Linked DNA regions of Macaca fascicularis. The protein of the gene in region 2 interacts with the protein of the main gene of each other region in a biochemical or structural test. Links are inferred from orthologs where the notes say so. Each region holds a gene or a part of one and is shown on either strand. Other genes may lie near its edges.

The links.
Region 1: the proteins of SPTBN2 (region 2) and ACTR1A form a complex in vitro, tested with the Homo sapiens proteins (2 studies listed by BioGRID). The link is inferred for Macaca fascicularis from reciprocal best matches to the Homo sapiens genes SPTBN2 and ACTR1A.

The regions. Positions count from the first base shown.
Region 1 is NC_088383.1:111,491,109-111,496,894, reverse strand, and holds part of ACTR1A (alpha-centractin), read left to right. Parts: intron 1-1,515; coding exon 1,516-1,640; intron 1,641-2,869; coding exon 2,870-3,086; intron 3,087-4,137; coding exon 4,138-4,230; intron 4,231-5,074; coding exon 5,075-5,249; intron 5,250-5,351; coding exon 5,352-5,413; intron 5,414-5,786. UniProt on the Homo sapiens protein: Part of the ACTR1A/ACTB filament around which the dynactin complex is built. The dynactin multiprotein complex activates the molecular motor dynein for ultra-processive transport along microtubules.
Region 2 is NC_088388.1:7,675,459-7,681,244, reverse strand, and holds part of SPTBN2 (spectrin beta chain, non-erythrocytic 2), read right to left. Parts: intron 5,319-5,786; coding exon 5,167-5,318; intron 4,739-5,166; coding exon 4,565-4,738; intron 3,781-4,564; coding exon 3,689-3,780; intron 3,545-3,688; coding exon 3,464-3,544; intron 3,146-3,463; coding exon 3,030-3,145; intron 1-3,029. UniProt on the Homo sapiens protein: Probably plays an important role in neuronal membrane skeleton.

The DNA of each region.
Region 1 (5,786 bases), on a different chromosome or scaffold from region 2:
TAGAGACAAGGTTTTGCCATGTTGCCCAGGCTGGTCTCGAACTCCTGGGTTCAGGCAATCTGTCCACCTCCACCTCTCAAAATGCTGGGATTACAGGCGTGAGCCACTGTGTACAGCCTGTGCTTGTTAACTTGTGAGGAAGTAACTCTCCATTCAAAAATGCAAAGGGAGGCCGGTCGCTGTGGCTCACACCTATAATCCCAGCACTTTGGGTGGATCTCTTGAGCTCAGGAGTTCGAGACAAACTTGGGCAGCATGGCGAAACACCATCTGTACTAAAAATACGAAAAAATAATAGCCCGGTGTAATCATGCATGCCTGTAGTCCCAACTACTTGGAATGCTGAGGTGGAAGGACTGCTTGATCCTGGGGGTGCTGAGTTTGTAGTAAGCCAAGATCGCACCACTGAACTCCCAGCCTGGTTACAGAGTGAGACCCTGTCTCAAAAAAAAAAAAAATGCAGAGAGGTGCAGACTAGGTGTATCAATTTCCAGGTGCAGGTGGGATGTTTTCAGTTTTGTTTTTTGTTTGTTTGTTTGTTTGCTTGCTTTTTTGAGACGGAGTTTCACTCTTGTTACCCAGGCTAGAGTACAATGGCACGGTCTTGGCTCACCGCAACATCCGCCTCCTGGGTTCAAGCGATTCTCCTGCCTCAGCCTTCCTGAGTAGCTGGGATTACAGGCATGCACCACCATGCCTGGCTAATTTTGTATTTTTAGTAGAGACGGGGTTTCTCCATGTTGGTCAAGCTGGTCTCTCTCGAACTCCCGAACTCAGATGATCTGCCCGCCTCGGCCTCCCAAAGTGCTGGGATTACAGACGTGAGCCACCGTGCCTGGCTGTTTTCAGACAGTTTTTTTAAAGCAGTGGTCCCTAACCTTTTTGGCACCAGGGACTAGTTTCTTGGAAGACAATTTTTCCATGGGGGTGGGGGCTTGGGGTAGCCAGATGGTTTCGGGATGAAACTGTTCCACCTCTGATAATCAGGCATTCGATTCTCATAAGGAGTGCCCAACCTAGATCCCTCACATGCGCAGTTCACAGTAGGGTTCATACTCCTATGAGAATCTAGTGCCTCTGATGACCTGACAGGAGGTGGAGTTCAGACAGCAGTGCTCACTTACCTGCCACTCACCTCCTGCTGTGCGGCCTGGTTCCTAACAGGTCACAGACTGGTACTGGTCTGCGGCAGGAATTTAGAGTTTCACAAAATCTTCTTGACAGTTGGAGATATGCAGTAGACACAGGGGCCTGTATAACAATCTTGGAGGACAAAGAGGGGAGTTGGAGGGCACAGCTGAGGACAGAATGAAATTTTAAAGGGGGCATTAACTTGAAAAGTTGAGAAACCTACTTGGGTAGGGATAGGTGACAGGCACAGCTTGCCTTTTTTTGGAGGGAGGCTGACAGAAGTCCCCAGGCTCTCAAAACAGCAAGGCAGGGTCTTCTCCCCCAAGACTAATGAAGATGGAAATCTGTCCTTGGCCTCATTGTCTCCCGGGCTCCTTTCACCAGCATCCTGTGCTCCTGACTGAGGCGCCTTTAAACCCACGCAAAAACCGGGAACGAGCTGCCGAAGTTTTCTTCGAGACCTTCAATGTGCCCGCTCTTTTCATCTCCATGCAAGCTGTACTCAGCCTGTGAGTAGCAGCTGGCTAGCCCGGCCCCTGCGGGGAAAGCAGTCCTTTGGCACAGCTGAGGCTGACTCCCCTCTGGGATGGTTCAGAGTAACTTGAGCCCCCTCTGCTAGGGAAAGGTTAAAGATGGTAGGAAAGAGAGAGAGGCTTTTGCTGAAACTGAGCACTTAGGCTTCGTAGTTGAAAGCAAAGAAGGATATGTGGCTGCTATTAACCATATGCCAGTGTTAGGACTCCTAGTGGGTTTGGTGCCCAAGGCCTTGGCTGGGCCTGCTGAGGCAGCCACATGCTGCAGCAGCTCTTCCCGGAGGCCCCTGTAATGTGTCCGCTTATTATTCAGTATTTACTGTGGCCGGCTGCTCCGCCAGGCTGCTGAGACAACCATGATCCGAATGCCACCACAGTCCTTGTTCCCATCCCCCATGGCTCCTGTCACACTCCTACCCCACCTCATACCAGGATGAGGTCTACGGCAGAGATAATCCATGAGTGACCTACACATGGGATTTATTTGACCCCATTAACAAATCGTGAGCCAGCATTTAAAAATCAAGAGCTGTCCCATCAAAATCTAAATTTTTGGCTTCTCTGAAACAATGGGAAGATCTGGGAATGCCGGGCACACATTCCCACAGGGCAAAAATCAGCTAGAGCTAAAGAGCGGCTGCCACTTGAGATGGGGCTGGCAAACCCACCCTCCCCACAGCGCGCCCATGCTCTGTTGGCCTCCCCGCCCTGAGCAGGGGGTCAGTTGCCTCACTTGCCTTTTTTTGGAAGGAGGCTGACAAAGGTCCCCAGGCTCTCAAACCAGTAAGGCAGGGTCTTCTCCTGCCTTCATTTTTTATGGAAGTGAAAAATATTCTTATTTTTCTTTACTCTTACTTTTCCTGCCTGGCCCCTGTTGGCATTTGAGGGTTTTTGCCTTTTGTCTAGAGAGTTAAAACTGGCCCTAGGCTGGGTCTCTGAAGCAGCTGAAGGCCAGGCCATCTCAGACAGGAAGGCCTGCTCTTCTGGGTGCAGGGAGGGAACTTGGAGAAGCTCAGCTCCTTCCGTTCAGGTATTTCATGGCTTGTTCCAACACCCAGGCTTCCTTAGTACCCAGTCCATTCTACAGCCCCTGGAGAGAGGCAGGCCCAAGCTTTAGTTTAGCTGACATTGAACTCTAAAAAGAAGTGTATTTCCTCCCAGCGTGAGGAGGCAGTGCTGAGTGACGATTTGCCCCTTTGCTTCAGTTATGCCACAGGCAGGACTACAGGCGTGGTGCTGGATTCTGGGGATGGTGTCACCCATGCTGTGCCCATCTATGAGGGCTTTGCCATGCCCCACTCCATCATGCGCATCGACATCGCGGGCCGGGACGTCTCTCGCTTCCTGCGCCTCTACCTGCGTAAGGAGGGCTACGACTTCCACTCATCCTCTGAGTTTGAGATTGTCAAGGCCATAAAAGAAGTAAGTGCTGCCCCCTGGGCCTAGGGATGGAGTGGGGGTTGGGAGCATAGCATCCAAGACCTTGGTCACCTGCCAGTAAAGCCAGGCGAAGCACCTACCTGAGGGTCCCTGGTGAGGCCCTGTTCTTTCCAGCCAGGTCTCCCCCACTTCACACTGACAGATTCGCCTTCCTGACGTGCTGCCATCTTATTGGGGGAAAGAGAGCTGCTTCCATTTCTTCAATTGGGTGATGGCTACATAGAGGCTCAGCATGTTTTTTGTACCTAATATGCAAATTACATAGGGTTTTGTTTTGTTTCGTTTTGTTTTGTTTCTGAGATGGAGTCTCACTCTGTCACCCAGGCTGCAGTACAATGGTACGATCTCGGCTCACTGTAACTTCCGCCTCCCGGGTTCAAGTAATTCTCCTGCCTCAGCCTCCCGAGTGACTGGGATTACAGGTGCCTGCCACCACACCCCACTAATTTTTGTATTTTTGGCAGAGACGAGGTTTCACCATGTTGATCAGGCTGGTCTCGAACTCCTGACCACAAGTGATCTGCCTGCCTCAGCCTCCCAAAGTACTGAAATTACAGGCATGAGCTACCGTGCCCAGTCCTGGTTTTTTTATTTTTATTTTTTAACATCCTTGAAGAAGTCATAATACATTTAAAACATTTGTCTTTGTAAGTAAAAAGAACCCTCCTGCCACCTGTGGCTATAGGGAAACCTCTGAGCTGAGGAGGACCAGAACCATATGAGTGGTAGAAAGAGAAAGATGCCTGGGCCTGGTCTGAACTTAGGTTGTGGTCTCAGACCTAGGATCCAGAGGCCAAGTTTCCAAGCTTGCCCACCAGGAAGGTGGAGCAGATAAGAACTCGTATGCTAAATGCCACCCAGTGAAGGCCAACAGAGACCTCCCTGCCCCTGCTTCTGGGCAGCAGCTATAGTGACCACTGGGGCCATCACAGTGTGTAGACAGGTTTGTGCAGCAGCACATTCCTCCCCTGGGCCTTTGACCGGGTGTGCACCAGGTTTCCTGCCAGCCTGACTGTCTTGCTTGGTTCTGCAGAGAGCCTGCTACCTATCCATAAACCCCCAGAAGGATGAGACGCTAGAGACAGAGAAGGCTCAGTACTACCTGCCTGATGGCAGCACCATTGAGGTAGGTGGCCTGCCTTCTTTCTTCGGTCCCCTTAGGTCCACAGAAGCTCTGGGCCCAAACAGAATTCCCCATGAAGGTCTGGAGTCTGGCAGGCCAGTCCCTTTACACCAAGTTTGTCCAGCCCCTGGCCCATGGGCTGCATGTGTCCCAGGATGGCTTGCAGTAAGGCCCAACACAAATTGGTAAACTTTCTTAAAACATTATGAGATTTTTTTTTTTTTTGCAATTTTTTTTTTTTTAGCTCAGCAGCTATCATTAGTGTTAGTGTATTTTATGTGTGACCCAAGACAATTCTTCTTCCATTGTGGCCCAGGGAAGCCAAAAGATTGGACACCCCAGCTTTACACCCTCTGTCTGGAGCAGCAGAGCTCCTGAGCATGAATGGCCCTGTCTCCTGCAGAGGAGGCAGCAGGAACCTTGCTCCCTCCCGCTAGAGGGGAGGAAGCTGCTAAGGGATTGTCCCACATCAGTATGAGATTAGGAAGTGGGATGGTTAGTGCTATCCTTCACCACACCTGGGCGCAGTGTAGGGTGAGTTACCACTCCTTTGAACCCCCATTGCTAGGAAGACGTTTCCATGAGTAAATAAATCCATGAATTGATGCCAAAGACCTCTTGGCTGGAAAATGCCAGAGCAAGAATGAAATATAGGAGCCTCCCCTCACTAGTTTCCAGGAGCCCTATCTTTGTTCCTTTAAGCTCTTAACATGTAGAGTCTGTCTTGAGCCTGGCCTTCATAGCCACCTAGTTACTAAGTGATGTGCAGAGGGGCCTCTTCCATTCCCACTCCCAAAGGGACCTTGGTCCCAGCTCCAACATCTTCAGCTGGTCCTCCTACCTACAGATTGGTCCTTCCCGATTCCGGGCCCCTGAGCTGCTCTTCAGGCCAGATTTAATTGGAGAGGAGAGTGAAGGCATCCACGAGGTCCTGGTGTTCGCCATCCAGAAGTCAGACATGGACCTGCGACGCACGCTTTTCTCCAACATCGTCCTCTCAGGAGGCTCTACCCTGTTCAAAGGTTGGTCTTTTCTCTTGGAGCCCTTGCCCTGGAAGTGTTCGGCTCCTGCTGGCTCCAGGCACCCCGAGAATTGACTTGAAGTTCTCCTCTTTGCCTGTTCAGGTTTTGGTGACAGGCTACTGAGTGAAGTGAAGAAACTAGCTCCAAAAGATGTGAAGATCAGGGTAGGAGCATGGTGGGGCCTGGCCTGGGTGGAATTGGGCTTCCATGGACAGAGTCCCACCTGGTGTAGCTTCCCTCTAGCTTTGCCCAAGCTCTTTAGGCAGCCATGGCTCTACAGGCAGCACCAGGTTCCCAGCCTGTACACTGACCCTGAGGTCTAGGTCTGCCACAGGGAGGCTGAGTTCTCATTCTCCCTCTTCACGCCAAAGGAAGGCAGTTCTAATACCCAGATGAGGCAGGGTACTAGGTAGAGGGCCCCCTGCATGATCTTTCAGGGAAACTATAATCTTTAGAGGAGACTGACTTAATGTTGCTGTGCTGCCTGCCCAGGTGGCTACCCTGTCACACAGTCTGACACCTTAGTGACAGGTGAAG
Region 2 (5,786 bases):
TTCCCTTCTTCTGGAAACAAGAAGGGCCCTCCAAGCAGAGCACAAACCCCAGAAGGAGGCTTTTACTCAGAGTTCCCCATGGAGACCAAAATTAGTTGTTTGGGGAAGAAAAGCAAGAAAAGAGACAGCATTGCTACGTGGGGATGGATCACGGACTTTTAGGCTGGAACAATGTTTAAGAAATCAATGGAGGCCGGGCGCGGTGGCTCACGCCTATAATCCCAGCACTTTGGGAGGCCGAGGTGGGCGGATCACGAGGTCAGAAGATTGAGACCATCCTGGCTAACACGGTGAAACCCCATCTCTACTAAAAATACAAAAAAATTAGCTGGGCGTGGTGGCAGGCGCCTGTAGTCCCAGCTACTCGGGAGGCTGAGGCAGGAGAACGGTGTGAACCCGGGAGGCGGAGCTTGCAGTGAGCTGAGATCGTGCCACTACACTCCAGCCTGGGGGACAGAGCGAGACTCTGTCTCAAAAAAAAAAAAAAAAAAAAAAAAAGTCAATGGATTGAGGGGCAGCAGGACAGAAGGTATGAACTAAGCCTCCTGAACCTAAGATGCACAGAGCAATGGGCCCTGTGATCCCCGCAGCTCAGTGGGGACAGAGGCCAGCTCTCAGCACCATCTCCAGGTGTGATCACACTGTTTCTAACCTCAATCCCAAACCTCAGCTGTGGGCCCAAGGAGGGGAGTGTCTTTCAAGCCGAACTGGCTTCCACCACACAACCGAGGCTGACCGTAACTTGAAATCTATGGGTTCTTTTAAATAGGCCAGATTTTATCCTAAAGGTAAGACTATGAGACTGGAAGCCTCTTGCCCATTTCTGGAAACACGCAGGCAGGCAGGAGCCACTGAAGTCATCTCGGAAAGTTACAGAATGCTTAGCTTTATTTCCAGGTTCTGAATTACAGCCATGCTGCCCAGAGGCTCTCTAAGGAGCACTGCATGAAGCCTATGTCTGTTGCTAGCTCGCTGACACTTGTCATTCTGGAGTAAAAGGGTCCAGGTGATAGGGCTACAGGTAGAATGGAAAACAGGGAGAAAATGGCCAAGACCAGCGAACATCCACCCAGTGAACTTCAGGAGCACCTCCAGCAGGGGAGTCACTGGGCCCTTCTCTCCTCCCTGTTCTGGCTGCACCAAGATTGGTCTCCACTCTACCAGAAGCAGCAGAAGAAACAGGCTCTGGAGCCAGGCTGCCTGAACACCAATCTCAGCTCCATCTGCCGGAGGACTTGGGCAAGTTGCTCACCCATTATAGGCCCCCATCGTCTCTTCCATAAACTGAGGATAACAGTACTGATTTCAAAGGGGTATTGTGAAGATTAAAGCATGTCAAGTGCAGAACCAGGTACCAAATAAGAGAAAAATCGCAGTCGGGTACAGGGGCTCACACCTGTTATCCCAGTGCATTGGGAGGCCGAGGTGGGCGGATCACAAGGTCAGGAGTTAGAGACCAGCCTGACCAACATGGTGAAACCCCGTCTCTACTAAAAATACAAAAACTAGCCGGCCTGGTGGCATACGCCTGTAATCCCAGCTACTCGGGAGGCTGAGGAAGGATAATTGCTCGAACCCAGGAGGCGGAGGTTGCAGTGAGCTGAGATCGCGCCATTGCACTCCAGTCTGGGCAACAGAGCGAGACTCCGTCTCAAAAATAAAAAAAGAGCCCAATCGCTGTTACTGATCTCATCTATCTTGTCAGCATTATGACCAGAACCACAGGAACCAATCAGCAAGGTCAGCTGACCACAGGCCAGGTCTGGGTAAGAGTGGAAGGTCATGCAGCTTAATTTTTTTTCTTTTTTTTTTGAGATGGAGTATTGCTCTGTCGCCCAGGCTGGAGTGCAGTGGCCGGATCTCAGCTCACTGCAAGCTCCGCCTCCCGGGTCCACGCCATTCTCCTGCCTCAGCCTCCCGAGTAGCTGGGACTACAGGCGCCCGCCACCTCGCCCGGCTAGTTTTTTGTATTTTTTAGTAGAGACGGGGTTTCGCCATGTTAGCCAAGATGGTCTCGATCTCCTGACCTCGTGATCCGCCCGTCTCGGCCTCCCAAAGTGCTGGGATTACAGGCTTGAGCCATCGCACCCAGCCGCTTAATTTTTTTTCTTAAAAATTTGTTTTAAAAAAATAAAGACAGGTCTCGCTGTTGCCCAGGCTGGAGTACAGTGACTATTGACAGGTGTGATCCCACTACTGATCAGTGTGGGAGTTTTGACCTGCTCCATTCTGACTTGGGCTGGTTCAGTCCTCCATAGGTAACCTGGTGGTCCCCTGATCCCAGGAGAACACCAATGCTGAACTTAGTGTGGATACCCAATCAGCATAGCCCACTGCAGCCTAGAACTCTTGGGCTCAAGTGATCCTCTCACCTCAGCCTCCCTAGCAGGTAGCACTACAGGCAGGTACCACCGTGGCCAGCAACATGTAGCTGAATTTAGAATCCTAGAATTTTCGAAGAACCCTTACAGACCAATTCTGTCTTTTAAGACATGAGGAAACTGAGCCACAGAGGCCAGCCACTGGCTGTATGTCACAGAGCTCCTGTGTGCTCTGCCCGGGACACAACTCACAGCCCAGTGCTCTTTCTGTCACTGGGCTGCCCTTCTTCTGACCTACAGTCTTTTGTTAGAAAAAACTGAGAAATGATTTTCATAACACAAAATTCACCCTTTTAATGTATATAATTCAGTGGTTTTCAGTGTAAAGATGTATTTTTTAGGGGGAGGGGTAGTCATGGGGTCTCAGTATGTTGCCCAGGCTGGTATCAAACTCCTGGGCTCAAGCGATCCTCCTGCCTTGGCCTCCCAAAGTGCTGGGTGTGAGCTACCCCATGGTTTTCAGCATATTTACAAGCTTGTGTAACTATCACCACTTTCTAATTCCAGAACATTCTCTTCCCCCACCAAAGAAGCCCCTGTATCGGTTGGTGGTTACTCCATGTCTTCCCCCTCTGCGGCCCCTGGCAACCACTGGTCCACCTCCTGTCTCTACCCTACCACCTCTTTTTCATATAGCTCTGGCCCCACCTTCAGGATCCAGCAGCTTGGTAAGTCCCAGTTCCTTTTCAGCCAGATTGAATGCATTCTGCAGATTATAGTGCGCATTACACTTCTTCAGAGACTCAAAATCCAGCAGGTCTGGCCTGGGTGGGGAGGAAAGACAGAAGGGATCAGAAACATGTGAGATCTTAAAGAGGAAGAGGAAACCCACACCAATCTTTATCCCTAAGTCACCGACCCAATTTTGTCCAGAAGTAGGCATCCCAAACCCACACTGCTGCTCATAGCCCCTCCCCATACCGCCTCCCCTGCTTCCCATCACAAGCGCTCTGTGCAGTCCTGCACCCCCACGTTCTGGTTCTGCTCCGAGTGCTATCCCTTCCTTCTGACTGCTGTGCAGCTCGTCTCATCTCTGTCTCCACATGTGCAGCCGAGGTCACTAGACGACCCCATCTTCTCACCGGTGTTTATGCACGATGGCGTTGAAGGCTAGTCCATCTCTCCAGCTGGTGGTGAAGTTGTGTACATTGACGTTGGGATAACTATAAACAGAGATTCGGAAAATGGTGAGTAGGGCTGAGCCCTGGTCTGTGATTCCAGGGCAGTCACCAGCTCATGGTTCCTGGAGCCCAGCACAGCCTGGGGGTCACTGACCCTCCAGTGCCACATGCCCAGGGCATCCTCACCCTGCAGTCTTCATCTGGCACCACAGAAGCAGGGCATCCTTGGCTGACTTCTTCTCCTTGTTGTCTTCTGTCTCCACACTGATGTCTTGGATCTAGGAAGGAAGCAAGCAGGGCCCTCACTCCCTGGACAGGAACTCCTGGTGTTATCAGAGATGCTCAGCTAAATGGCAGGAAACCACTCTTTAGACGGTGGTAATGGGGTGGACAGGCATAGCCTGAGGTCCTTTCAACCTAGGCCAGGGACCACAGAACACTGGGTGGAAGGGGTTTGAGGCAGCAGATTAGGGTAGGATGCTGAAGAATGGATGTGTCCCTGAGTGGAGGTGCTGGTCCCTCCAGGTGGGGAACTGCAGGCAGAAGAGTGAATCTTTTCTGAGAACTGGCTCTCCAAGGTGTCTGAAAGCTGGCTTTCCAAGGTGAAGCCGACAGAACCCGGGAAGGAAGAGGGTGATCAGGAAAGCTGTGATGACATGAGGACACTGGGGCATGGGAAGGAGGAGGGTGACTGTTCCACTGGGGGAGGCCAGCAGAGTTTATGGCAGGGGATTGGGGCCAGTGACCAGACCCTCTGGAAGTTCCCAAATCCCTTGTGGTGAAGGACCAGTTTGTAAAACTTCTAGTCCCTTGTGGACCAATACACAGAGCAGCGCACAGGGAACCTGCCACAGGGGTTTGCCATTCACCCACGCTGGTTTCTACCCTGTTGAAGGAGGGGAGTCCACTGATCTGGTGCTTGGATAGCACCACAATAGCAACTGCTACATAAGGTTCTAGATCCTCCGTCTTTGTGTTTGTTGTGTCACGGGCCAGCAGGAACGGTCTGTGGTGCAGAATCAGGGCAGGAACCACACCCTGTGCGACAGTGTGCTGGGGTACCTGGAATCGAAGGATGATGGTCCAGACCAGCCCAAGGGTCAGTCGGTGGTTTCCGTCCACAATGTCATGGGAGCCCATGTTTTCCAAGTGCACTTTCTGCTCCTTGAGGAACTGCAGTGCCTTGTCCACGTTCTCCAGGCAGTGGATCCGCATGCGGCCCTTTGTGGGCTTTGGCTGTGGAGGGACGGGGGCAAAATGGCACGGGACTGTGGGCTTCCACCTTCTTCCCCAGCCTTCCCAGGGCCCGGCTTTGCACACCTTCCCCATGACCTACCTCAGGAACACAGGCACAGCCCCAGGGCTGGAGCCAAAGCTGAGGTTACAGATGAGGCTTGGGCAGATTAAGATTCCCAAGGGAATTAATTGCACCCAGAGTAGGTGGAAAAAGAAATGTTTTCAATGGGGCCACTGTTCCTGTCTCCACGAAGCAGTGCTCCTATGTAATCCAAGTGGCAAAGGCGCTCGAAATGAACCCATCCTCTGAGCAGGGGGAGCCACTGCTTCCCGCCCTATGCCGTCACTCTCTCTGAGGGCTGTTCCTCCAGCTGGTCCCCTTGGACACTTTTCTGAGGCCCCCTCTTCCCTTCATGACCACAGCTCACCAGTGTCTCTCCCGAGAGCACCTCGAGGAGCCTCAGCAGGTTGCGTCCATCCCGGAGGTCGCTGTACAGGTCCCCCACCCGGCACGTGACCCGGGCCAGGTGCGAGTTTACCCACTTGGTGAAGGTTTTCTTCTGCACGGCTTCTCGTTCATCTGCGGTGGCAACATGGGGTTATTTCTGTCCTTCGAGTTCAGCATGCCTGCTTCTAAACACCAGTTGGCAGGGGTGGGGGATGGAGGAGCCTGAGAGATTTCGGGAAGCGGGGTCCTCCAAGGAGGAGGAAGGGAAGGCAGATGACCAGGAGGAAAGCCCGTAACTTGGAATGAGCTCATAAGCAAGGTAAAGAAGAAAGATGAAAGACAGAAAACAGGCTTTGAGAAGAAAGGATGAAGACCTTGGAAACCGTGGGACATGCAGGGAGGGGCTGGAGTGGGGCAGTCGTGTAAGTGGTGGAACACTGGTCAAGTGACTTCATCCATCAGAGCCCCAATGTCCTCATCTGTAAAATGGGAACATCACTTTCTACTTCAACAGGTCATTGTGTTGATTAAATGAGATAAGGTATATAAAACATCTAGTTGGTGCCCGGCACAAAATGGCTCCTTGGTGAGCTGCTGTTA